Sus scrofa: one gene and its partners. The protein of the gene in region 2 interacts with the protein of the main gene of each other region in a pairwise test. Links are inferred from orthologs where the notes say so. Each region holds a gene or a part of one and is shown on either strand. Other genes may lie near its edges. The genes, in order: MAFG, BACH2 and BATF3.

The links.
Region 1: the proteins of BACH2 (region 2) and MAFG interact in binary tests that used the Homo sapiens proteins (3 or more experiments, as listed by UniProt). The link is inferred for Sus scrofa from reciprocal best matches to the Homo sapiens genes BACH2 and MAFG.
Region 3: the proteins of BACH2 (region 2) and BATF3 interact in binary tests that used the Homo sapiens proteins (3 or more experiments, as listed by UniProt). The link is inferred for Sus scrofa from reciprocal best matches to the Homo sapiens genes BACH2 and BATF3.

Annotation. Positions count from the first base shown.
Region 1 is NC_010454.4:1,067,917-1,071,660, forward strand, and holds the start of MAFG (transcription factor MafG), read left to right. Parts: upstream 1-1,157; 5' UTR 1,158-1,232; intron 1,233-1,576; exon of another isoform or gene 1,577-1,629; intron 1,630-1,679; exon of another isoform or gene 1,680-3,744. UniProt on the Homo sapiens protein: Since they lack a putative transactivation domain, the small Mafs behave as transcriptional repressors when they dimerize among themselves.
Region 2 is NC_010443.5:58,278,756-58,282,499, reverse strand, and holds the start of BACH2 (transcription regulator protein BACH2), read left to right. Parts: upstream 1-1,147; 5' UTR 1,148-1,282; intron 1,283-3,744. UniProt on the Homo sapiens protein: Transcriptional regulator that acts as a repressor or activator. Binds to Maf recognition elements (MARE). Plays an important role in coordinating transcription activation and repression by MAFK.
Region 3 is NC_010451.4:130,702,025-130,705,668, forward strand, and holds part of BATF3 (basic leucine zipper transcriptional factor ATF-like 3), read left to right. Parts: intron 1-300; coding exon 301-405; intron 406-3,644. UniProt on the Homo sapiens protein: AP-1 family transcription factor that controls the differentiation of CD8(+) thymic conventional dendritic cells in the immune system.

The DNA of each region.
Region 1 (3,744 bases), on a different chromosome or scaffold from region 2:
CCTTCAGTGGCACTGAATTCCCATAAGGATCCTGCCCTCGTCCCTGGCTCCTCCCTCTTTCAGCTCATCTGATCTCACTGACCTGTCTGGTGGGGGGGGGCGCGACCCTTCCTGACCTCACACCTGAGAAGAGACGTCCAGAATCTGGAAGTAGAATTGGGTCCCTTCAGTTTCCCTTCTTCCTTTCCAGACCTCTTTCTCTGGGGATTTTGAACAGAAGTGAGAAGTCCTTACAGAAAGTGTAGAAACTTTCTGTAAGGGTCCATGGGTCCATGGACGGGGACCTAAGCTCGGGGCAGACGCTGGTGAAACAGAAAGGAAAGGCGCACCCCCTACATCAACTATGAATTCAACAGATGCTTACTGATGCCCACATTCACCGCACCCACTCTGAGCCAGACGGGTTCTAGGAGCCGCCTGAGCCCGGTCCCTCATGTGAGGTCTCGGGATGCTGGGTGAAGACAGACCACACTACTCAGAAGCCTTGGAGGCGGCCTTGAGCTTCGGACAAACCCTTCGCCTCCCTGAGCCTGTGGGTCTCCTGTGAACCAGACAGCTGTTCCTGGCAAGGCTGAGGCCCGCTCCGCAATTACGGAGGCAAGGCATGCAGAGCCTGCCGGGGAGTAACAGAAACACCATGAGGACCTTCTCCATAATGCGTACGGACCTCGGATCCGCAACAGAAAACCGGACACGTGGCCTTTGCAACGTCTGCGCACAAGCCTCAGGAGAGCTTCAGAGGACCACGAGGCCCCGCCTCAAAGGGGGCGTGGCCGGACAGGGAGCGCGCGCCCGGGCCAGTCCCGCGAGACCTCACCCATCGGGCGCGGCGCGCGTTGCCAGGGCGACGGCGCCCGGCGCGCAGGCGCAGTGCCGGCGCGCTCTGCCGCCCGCCGCCGCCGTCGCCGCCGCCGCGCCTTCCCCTTTAAGCCCCAGCCGGTCGCGTCGCCGCTTCATGAATGGAGCCCACGTGACCAAACATCATGTGACGTCTGAGGAGCGGCGGCGGGCGGCGGCGGCGGCGGCGGCGGCCGGCGGCGGCGGCGGCGGCGGCGGATCCCGAGCCCCGAGCCTGGTCCGGCCCGGCCTTCCAAGCGCGCTCGGACCGGCCCGCGCAGGCGGCGAGCCCCTACCCCGGGCCCGGAGCCCCCGCGCGGCCCACTCCCGCGCGGCCTCGGAGTGCCCGCCCCGCCCCGCCCCAGCCTCGGCCCGCCGGGCCCGCAGTGTGGTGGGTGAGTGCGGCGGCGGCCGGGCCGGGGCAGGGCGCGGGGCAGCTGGGGGCTCCGGGCCGAGGGCGGGCTTCCGCGGGGCCTCGGCTCCTTCGGGCGTCCGGGGCGGCGCGGGCCGGACGCTCCGAGCTTCGGCTCTGCCCCGCGCCCTGCTGGCGGCCCGTGCCTCGATTTCCCCACTAGTCAGAAGCGGCTTCCTGCCCTTGCGCCTGGGGTGCTCGGGTGGGCGCGGGGGTGCCCACAGGGGCGGGGCGGGGCTTGCGCGGGCTGGCTTGCTGGGCCGGGGCGTCCTGGAGGGAGGGGCGGCCGGGGTGGCGGGAGGAAAGGGTGGGGTCGATCGGGGAGCCCAGGGCTCCGCGGAAGAGCCTGGCCGTCCCAGCCTGAGCTGCTGATTCATCAGGTGTCTGTGTTAACGCCTCTCGGACGCGGGGGTCCTTGGAGGCCGGGGGGAAGGGGGCGGCACGTGGGGGGTGGCTAGGAAGACCCTCCCCGCGCCGACTTCGCTCTGTCACACTCGTGCCAGAGCCCAGAGGGAGACTTGCTGAGTCATCAGCATGAGGTCACTCGATGCTTGTCCTGATGCCTGGGGGGATTTGAGCGAGGGGCTCGAGAGGCTGGAAGCGAGAGGTGAGAGCTAAACCAGGGAGTGGGAAGGGGCTAGGCCCCAGGCTGGGGTGCCTGCTTAAGTTCGGGCTGATGTGCGTGTTGAAGGTTTGGGGGGTGAGTAAATGGAGGGACCGCTATTCTTATTATTCTGGGGTAGAGGGTGAAGACCCTGGTCCGTCCATCCCCTCCCCGGCAGGCTTTTCTCAGGCTGCTGGTCCCTGACCCGCGTCTGGGACAGTTCCCCAAACTGGGAAATAGTTCTCTGAGTGAGAAGAGGGAGGAGCTTAGGGGGGCTGTGCTTGCGGGCTGGGAAGCCGGCTTTCCTTATGACTGGTCTGGTTGGCCAGGCTGGGCAGCCTCTGGGCGGGGAAGATGGGGAGACAGTGGGAGAAAGAGGGGTGCCTGTACCCGGTTTCTGGGTAACAGTGGACAGGGCAGGGGGCATGTAGGTGCAGCTCTACCAGGAAATTGCCAATGAGAGGAAGCAGCAGGACTTAGACTTCAGGGGAGTTGGTGTCTGGTGAGCAGGCCCTGCCTCTCTTCACAGCCCGCCGTGGGGTCTGGCTCGAGGCTGTGGGTGGCGGTAGCTTGGAGGGCACCCACCTTCAGGGCACTGGACTGGGGTGGACGGCATGGGCTGAAGAATCTCAGTCACCCCGGATTGTTCTGGTTGGGCTCAGGGTTGTGCAGCTTAACAAAGAAGGTGGTCCTGATGGGGTGGTGGTGGGGACTCCTGGGGAGGGAACTCCAGCCTGAGGGTCGTGTGGCCTGAGCCACCTTCCTAAGTGAATGGGTGGTTCCTGGTCTCCAGGGGCGGGGGTGGGAGTGGGGGTCTTTCCTCTAGACCAGAGCTGATCCTTTTGCCCAGGGGTTCAAGGCTAGGTAAGGCTGACCTTGTGCTTTGTCCTCAGGCATTACTTCCGCTCCCCTTCACCCCAGCCCTGGGCATACAGATGCCAGCTGATCTTTTTTTTTTTTTTTTTTTTCCTGGCCACAGCATGCAGTGGCTTGAAGTGGGATCTCAATTCCCAGAAAAGGGATGGAACCCAGGCCGCAGCAGTAAAAGTGCCGAGTGCTAAGCACCAGACCACCAGGGAACTCCCACCAGCTGATCTTTTGGCTGGAGTTTTATGAAAATGCAGATTCCTAGAGTGGTATTTCTTTAAATCTTCTCAGCTACTTGCGTTTGGTGGGAATGAAGTTTGAGACACTTTTCAGAGGGCTTCTGGGGAAATGGGTCCGAAGGGCAGGGTGAGTGTAGCGGGCTGGGGGGGGTGCCAGGATGACCGGGGCCACGCCTGCCGGGGAGGTTTGGCCACTGCGGTTTGTAGGACAGGAGAAGCAGGAGCGAGCTGGCCTCCTGCCCAGTGTCCATGCCCTGGAGTTTGAGCCCAGGGGAGGGGGAGGGGGCCCTCTCTCCTTCCTGGCCGGCTCTCAGCTTGAGTGGCTAGGCCTGGGTACCTTGGTGGGTATGCACTCTGGGGACCACCCCTGCCTCCTCCCCGAAGTGGGCTCAGCCTCTGGGGGAGCAGAGGCAGGAGGAGGGCTGCAGGGAGGCAGCGTCTCCTTGAAACGGCCTCGGGGATCCCCTTCCTCCGGCTTCTAGAGGTGCCCTGAGACCTCGGTCCCAACCCAGGCCCACAGGGTGTCTCGTCCTGGAACTGTGAGGCCCCAGGTAGCGGAGACCAGGCCAGGAGGCCGGAAGGCAGGCCTCGCCGAGACCCCCTCCCCCAGCCGAGCGCGCACACCTTTGATTAGGAGGCGATTGGCTGCACTTGTGCTGAGTTCAGGGCTTCTGCGCCGGGAAATCTGTCGAGGAGGCACTTTTCGGCTCCCAGCCGCCACGCTCGGCACTTTTCTGGGTGATTCTTCAGGAAGTCACCGTGGGCTCAGCATTCAAGTCTGGAGG
Region 2 (3,744 bases):
TCTTTTATTGCAAATGTTCCTTCAGTCTAAGTCCTAATTACTTTCTGTAAAACCCTAACCACCATCGAGCTTTCTTCTGACAGGGCAGCCACACGATGGCCTTAAAGTGCAGCGGCAGCGCCGGGCAGCCTCTGGAATGGGAGACAGGGGGTGGTTGGAACCCTGTAGGGGCTGAGGCTGCAGCTCAGACGTAGGCTTTTCAGTGAGCTTCGCAACTGCTTGCAACCCCTTTTAAAATCCCAGCGTGGGGACTTAGAGGCTCCCTCGGTGGGGCAGGCTGAAGCCCTTCTGGAAAGGATTCCAACGTCAACATCAACGTTGGGTCAGAAGCTACTCTTGCTCGCCCCACCCCCTCCCAAGAGGGGTACCGGTCAGCTTGGTGGAGCCCGTGGAGCATCTTTTTCTGCCCCTCCTGGGAAACGCTAGACAACCCCGGAATCCCAGGTCTCAAGGTCTGGCTCCGCTTCCTGGGCGTAGTGCCCTGGGCTCTGCCCACCTCCCCACGTGCCACACCAGCTCTCCCCACTGCCCCCACCCCAGCGGCCCCCAGCCCTGGCCTTTCAAGGTTCGGGTGAGTCCCGGGCAAGGCCCGACCGAGACAGGCGGCCAGCCGGGCCCGGAGCAGGGGGCTCTCTCGGTGGTTCTGCCGCACAAAGCGGGGAGAGCTGCGCCGGCGGCGTGAGGCGCGCCCCCTCCCGCGAGCAGGCCGAGCGCGCTCCCGCCCCCTGTCCCCCGCCCCAGCCCTGGGAGCGCCATTCGCGGAGTGGCTTACGCTAGTCGCCGGGCGTACGGCGCCCCAGCGGCCGGGGAGGTGCGCTGCCCGGCTCCCGTAAAGTTATTGTGAATGGGGAGCGGGTGACGTCAGCGCCGAATGTCAACAATGTAGCGATTGAGAGTGTGGGCGTTCCGGGGAGAGCGCGAGCCGCGCCGCGCGGAGCAAACAGCGCCGAGCAGCCGCCGCCTAAGCAGCAGCAGCAGCAGCGGCCGTGCACGCCCGGGCTGCGGTCGCAGCAGCGCTAACGCGAGCGCCCGCCGCCGCCCTCGCCCACCCCGCCTGCCCACTCCCGCTGCCGCCGGGCTCTCGCTTTCTCCCCGGCCTCCCTCGACCCTTCCCCTCCCCCTTCTCGGCATACTCGGGGGGCTGGGAACGAGCTGCCATGTGATGCGCGTCCTCTCCGCGAGCTTTCGGTGACCCCCGATCCGCGGACCGCCGGGAGGGGGCTGCGGGCTAGGAGGACGCGGGGAAGAGGAGGCGGAAAAGGACGCAAAGTTCTCTGTTGAGGTGAGTCCCCGGCCGCGGGTCCCGGGCCCCGGCGGCGGCGGGCGGGCGGGGCGGTGGGGCAAGTTGGCGGGGGGAGCGGGCGCGCGGGGCAGGCGGGGAGACATGGGGAAGCGGCGCGGGAAGGGAACCGCGGCCGCCCGGAGCGCAGCCGCCCGCCGAGCGCCCTGCCCGCTTTTATGGCATTTTCTAGGAACGGGAAGGGGGTGGGAGCCGAGCCGGTGGACGCGCAGAGGCGACTGTGCGCTCTCTCGCCTGGCTGTTTACGGCGGGAGAGGAGGCATTGTATTTTGCTCGCGTCGACGGGTATTTTGGAACAGCAGGGGGAGGAGGAGCAGAGGGTAATAAGTCAGGCGTGGGGAGGGCGGGTTGAAGGGAGGCGCGCGTCCGCGCGAGCCGGAGCAGCTGTCAGACCCACGGCCCTGCTCCCGGCCCCGCGAGGCCCGGGCGCCCCGGCCCCCAGCCCGCGATCGCCGTGCCAGGCCGGGCGGCCTCCTCCCTGTCCGCGGCGTCCGCGCCCCGGGCTGCTCCGCTACGCTTTGCGCTCAGCTGTCAGACGTTGCCGGGTAGCTAGGACCACCACGACTAGCCGGGTATCAAAGCCCAAGTTTAAGGTCCCGGGAAGAGGCAGACTGGGGGCTCTTGGCACAGACCTTGGGTTGCTCGCTGGGTGGAATCCCTACTAGCCAACGACCACGGGTTATTGGAATGCGTCCCAGGGAACTCAGGCCGAGGGGCTCATGCCTTCAGAGAGGGAGATCTTGCACCTCTCTCCTTCCAAGATTCTGCACGAAATCAAAGTGCAACGCACACCCTCTTCTCCCTGCCCACACTTCAGTCTTCAGACCCCAGAAGCTCCACCTAGGAGAGGAGTTTATCCAGGGGACACTTCTCCACGTACCCCCACCCCGCCGGCGTGTCCTCCGGGGGTTCGCAGTTCTCCTTCTCATACCCGGTGGGTCATGGGATGCGGGCGGCGCTCCTGGACTACCCCAGCTGCCCGCGAGAGGGGACTCGAGTGAGCATCTCGGCGACCTCGGTCTGGGCGAGGATTTGCAGGAACTTGACCGTGGGAGGAAGCGCGCAGGGCCGGGTGTCTGTGTGTGAAAGGGGCCGCGCACCCCTGATTTCGGGGGTCGTGGGTGCGCTGGGTATCCCCAGCCCACTCTCACGTGTAGGCGAGTTTGATAACTTGCGGGAAGTTCTGGCGCAGCCGCTGTAGGATGGTTTTGTCTGTGGCCGGAGAAGGAGCGCCTCACAGTATGCCTGTCCGGTCACCGCCGTCGCCGCCACCCATGGCCCCTGGGAAACAAGAGGGACCAGGGCGCCCCACCCCCAACTGAGCTGCACACTCAGCGGGTAGCGAGACGCGGCGTTCCTGGGTTTTCACCTTCGCTGTCTAGTGCTGTAGTCTCTCACTCTCTGTGTAAATTTCATCTGTTGAATGTACTTAACTAAAAAGGGTAATTACTTTAGATTAAAAAAAAAAATCCCTTCCTGCCTAGTGGGAACCTTGGCGGAGATGCTGCCTAATGAGATATTTTGCTTTTGTCTGTTTAGAGTAAAATTAGAGATGTTAACTCTGATAACGGTTTTCTCAGATCATTAAAATGTAACATGTAGGAAAGGCATGTCGAGCTGCGAAGGCTCTGGCTGACATGAAAGAAGCTGTGCGGGGAAAGGCTCCTTGGGTAGAGAGGCTATTTTGGTAAGGCAGCGGCATCTTGCCTAAAATGTGACATTGCCCCACCCTGGTGCTCCCGCAGCTCACAGCTCCAGAGTAAACGGCGTTTTTCATTCTTCCAGGTAATAATAAACGTGAGTCAAAGTGACATCTTGTTAGAATTAAGTCTTTAGTCTGTAGGCGAGATTGCTAAATAACAGTGTTGCATTCACACTGCTCCCGTGAAAGGTCTGTCAGCATTTCCATTATAAATTCAATTTGGGGGGGAGTTGATAATTTCACCACAAAACTTTGGGTGGCTGAAATGGCTTTCCCTTCCAGTGTTCTGCTTTAAGCAATGAATCGACTGCCCACTTCCATCCTATTTGCTGTTCCTAAAACTTGAATATTATCCAGATGGGGGGGGGGGCAGAAATAGAAAACATAATCATGGAATAAAATACTTCTGTTCGAACGTACTTTATTTGTGCCAAGTAATACTTTCATTGTGGATTTTGGAAGGCTTTATGTTTGCCATTTGGTAATCATAAATGTGTTAATTCTTCTGGTACCTGTCAGTTCTGCAGGTGGATTGAAATGTCAGTTCATGTTGTATATGCCAGGATTACATGGAAGAACATTCTCCTCATACATGTGTGTGTGAGAGCTCATAGCTAAATTACATGCATGCCTCTTAGCTACTTGTCAGTTCTTTGTATGGTGCATGTGAGGATCTGGGGAAGAGAAGAAGGAGTAAGGTAGAAAGGGACAGGGGGTGGGGTGGAAATCAGGGACCCCCCCC
Region 3 (3,644 bases), on a different chromosome or scaffold from region 2:
AGTTCCACTTCCCATTCACCCCTCTACGAGCTGTGATACCTGGAGCAAGTTCCTCAACCTCTCTGAGTTTCTTATTCCTCATCTTTTAAATGGTGGGCCCACCACACACTTCTCGGGGTGGCGGTGGAGGTTAACAGCCAACACAGCCCGAGCGCGTGGTGAGTGCTTTCAACCAGGGCCGCTCTTATCCCAGGGATGCAGCAGCCAGCCCTGCTGTGGCTGCCCATCAAAGGGTGACCCCCTGTGAGCAAGGCTGGGCGCACATCAAGGGCAGAGATCTGACCAAACCTTTCTCCCCAGAGCCCCGAGGATGATGACAGGAAGGTCCGAAGGAGAGAAAAAAACCGAGTTGCTGCTCAGAGAAGTCGGAAGAAGCAAACCCAGAAGGCTGACAAACTCCACGAGGTGAGAATGTGGTTGGGGCAGAGCCACGTTAGGGCCACGACGACGACGGGGAGTCATCTTCTGCCCTTGCGAGGTGGTGGCCCTGAGGTCACGCTTCGATCCTCTCCAGGTCAGCCACGTGCACTTCAGATTCCGCTGTGTCCCTCCAGCGCAGCGTTGGGATTCGCTCTCTGGTGTCTCCATCTCTCCCCCACCAGCTCGTTGTGTCTCACACTCAAGTTTCCCTTTATCGTAAACCCAGAAACCTCCTTTTGATCCTGATTCCCTTTCAAGCTGGTGCCTCATTTCTTCTCTTTCCTTCCCTCATGGTCCTGCTTCTTGAAAAGAGACCTGCTGTCTTCATGTCCTCTGCTCTCCTGAAACACACACACACATGCACACGTACACACACACACACACACACACACACACACACACACACACACACACACGCTTCCTGCAGAAGCTGCTCCACTGAGGCCACTAGTGCCCTGGGACTGCCTGGTCTCGGGGCCTCTTTCGAGTCTCCTCATCCTTGAACTTGCTGGGACCCCTCATTGACCCTCATCTTAAAATTTTCTTTCAGAGTCTTTAACTTCTAAGAGACCACATTTCCTACCTTCCCAACCCTCTTAACCACTCTCTCAGTTTCTTTATCGGCTTTTCTACCTCTGTGTTCTTAAATGTTGGCGATGGCCAGACTTTCAGACTCTGCCTTTTTCCCCACCATCCTGGAAGATGCAACCTATGGTCTGCCAGCATTAGCTCCTCGCGTGCTCGCTCTCAAGCCGGTGTTGATAATTCCAACAAGACCCTGTCCTGGCCCTGACCCCACAGCTCCAGTGTCTGCCAGGTGCCTTCAAATGGGTTCACTGCGGGCTCCTCGGCCCCAGTGTGGCCATAAGCGTGTGTCTGTGCACTGGGAGGCTTTCTCTTCTCACTGTCTTCAAATTGCAGTTGATGGGGCTCACTCACCGTCTAGCGCATCACCCACATCAGGAGAGGGGACTTCTCCTAAACGCTTCCATGTTGGTCAGCCCCATGCATAATCTCACAGCCAGGACATGGGAACTGTTCCATCTCAGGCGCTGACATCAGAGGCATCCAGGATGCAGGATCTGCCCCAGGGATTCACGGCACTTCCGTGCTCTTGTCTTTGCACAGGGTAGGAGTGAGTAATTAAGGGTTGTAGTTCAGCTCTCTCCTGCCACGCTTTCGCTGGGGATTGTCCAGCAAGGCCAGTGTGCGGTCATTGACAGCGTAAGAGACTCTGAGGCGTTGTGCGGGGGAATGCCAGTTTCTGAAAACCCCTTCATGATACGCAGAGAACAGATTTAGAAAGCACATGCTCCAGGGAGAGGTGACCTGCTGATAGAAATACATGGGGCGGTGGGGGGTAAAGGGGTGGTGGCAGATCTTTCCAGAAAGTCTGGACCCTAGAAAGTGTCTTCAGGCCAGGGTCAGAGAAGGTCTGTCCCAGCCTGGATTAGGTCTGTAAAATTTCCACAGAGGACTTGGGATGCCCTTTGCCTCTTCTCTCCCCTCCCCCTTACTCCTGAAGCAATCCTGGTTCTAGCTTCGTGTTACCACTAATCCCCAGAGGGGACTTGAGGCTCAGTCTGTGCAAGGCCCTGTGTTCAGAGCACCCGTGCCTTCCTCTAAAGGTATTTCCAGTCCAAGTCAGGTGCATTCAGGTCAAAACACACTAGAGGACCCTCAGCTGTAAGTCCTGCGGGATCGTGTGTGTAGAGGTGACTAAATGACTTGGATGAGGTTTTTTGTGGACTCAGGTTGAGTAGATTCATTCAACAAATATTTACTAAGAACCACTACAGGCAAGGCATTGCCACTGAGTCGTGAAGGGAAGGGTAAGGTCTCATCCTTGTCCTTGGGAAGCAGAGGCGTTCCCAAGGGCAGTGTGTTCATTTCCTACAGCTGACAGATTTGATGGCTTGAAACAACACAGATTTATTATCTTATAGTTTTGGATGTCAGGCATATGAAATGGGTCTCACGGGGCAAAAACCAGGCTGTCAGCAGGGCTGCATTCCTTCTGGAGGCTCTGTTTCTTGCCTTTTCTAGCTTTCAGAGGCTTGCATGGTCTTTGGCTTGTGGTTACCTTCCATTTTCCTTTTTTTAAAGAAAATTTAAATTTTTTCATTTTTAAATTTTGTATTAAAGTATGGTTGATTTACAGTGTTGTGCCAGTTCCTGCTGTACAGCATAATGACCTAGTCATATAAATATGTGTGTGTGTGTATATTTACATGTATATACACTCGCGTTCTTTTTCTCATACTATCTTCCGTCATGTTCTATCCCAAGAGACAGATATAGTGCCCTGTGCTGTACAGTAGGATCTCATTGCTTCTCCATTCTAAATGTAATAGTTGGCATCTACCAACTCCAAAGTGCCCATCCATCCCACTCTCTCCCCCTCCCCCTTGGCAACCACAGGTCTGTTCTCTATGTCTGTGAGTCTGTTTCTGTTCTGTAGACAGGTTCATCTGTGCCACAGTTTAGGTTCCACATGTAGGGGATATCATATGGTTTTTGTCTTTCTCTTTCTGAATTATTTCGCTTAGTTTGAGACTCTGGTTGCCTCCATGTTGCCAGATGTCTGTTGACAGATGAGTGGGTTAAGAGGATGTGGTACACAAATACCCAGTGGAATCCTGCCCTTCCATTTTCAAAGCGGGCACCGGCCAGCCGAGTCTTTCTCATGCTGCATTACTCTGACAGTTTCTGTGGCCACGTCTCCTCTGATTCCCGACTCTTTCCCTTATGAAGACCCTCGGATTACCTTGGGTCCATCTGCCTGGTCCAGGTGTACCCCCCTATTTTAAGACCCTTAACGTAAAATCACATCTGCAAAGTCCCCTTTGCCGCGTAAGGTAACATATTCGCAGGTTCCGAAGTGTGAACATCTTTGAGAGGCATTGTCCTGCCTACCTTCAACAAATGCTTGCATACAGGGTCAGAAAAAAGGTGGGTCTCCATTTCTGTCCTTCTTGGATTTGATAGCCAGATGAACCAGATACCTGGGAAATTTAGGGCCGGTTTGCCACATTTGCTTCTGCCTCGTCTCTCTGAGAACAGTGGGTGGAGGGCCTTTCAGAGGGTCCCTAGCTTATTCTGCCATCCAGAAACATAACTGCGTTAGTTGCTCCTTCCAGGAAGGGGGCTGATTGATCTGCAGCCCAGGCCTTGCAGGGAGGAACGTCCACGTCTGCTCTTTCTCTGTGGAGCTGCAAGAATAG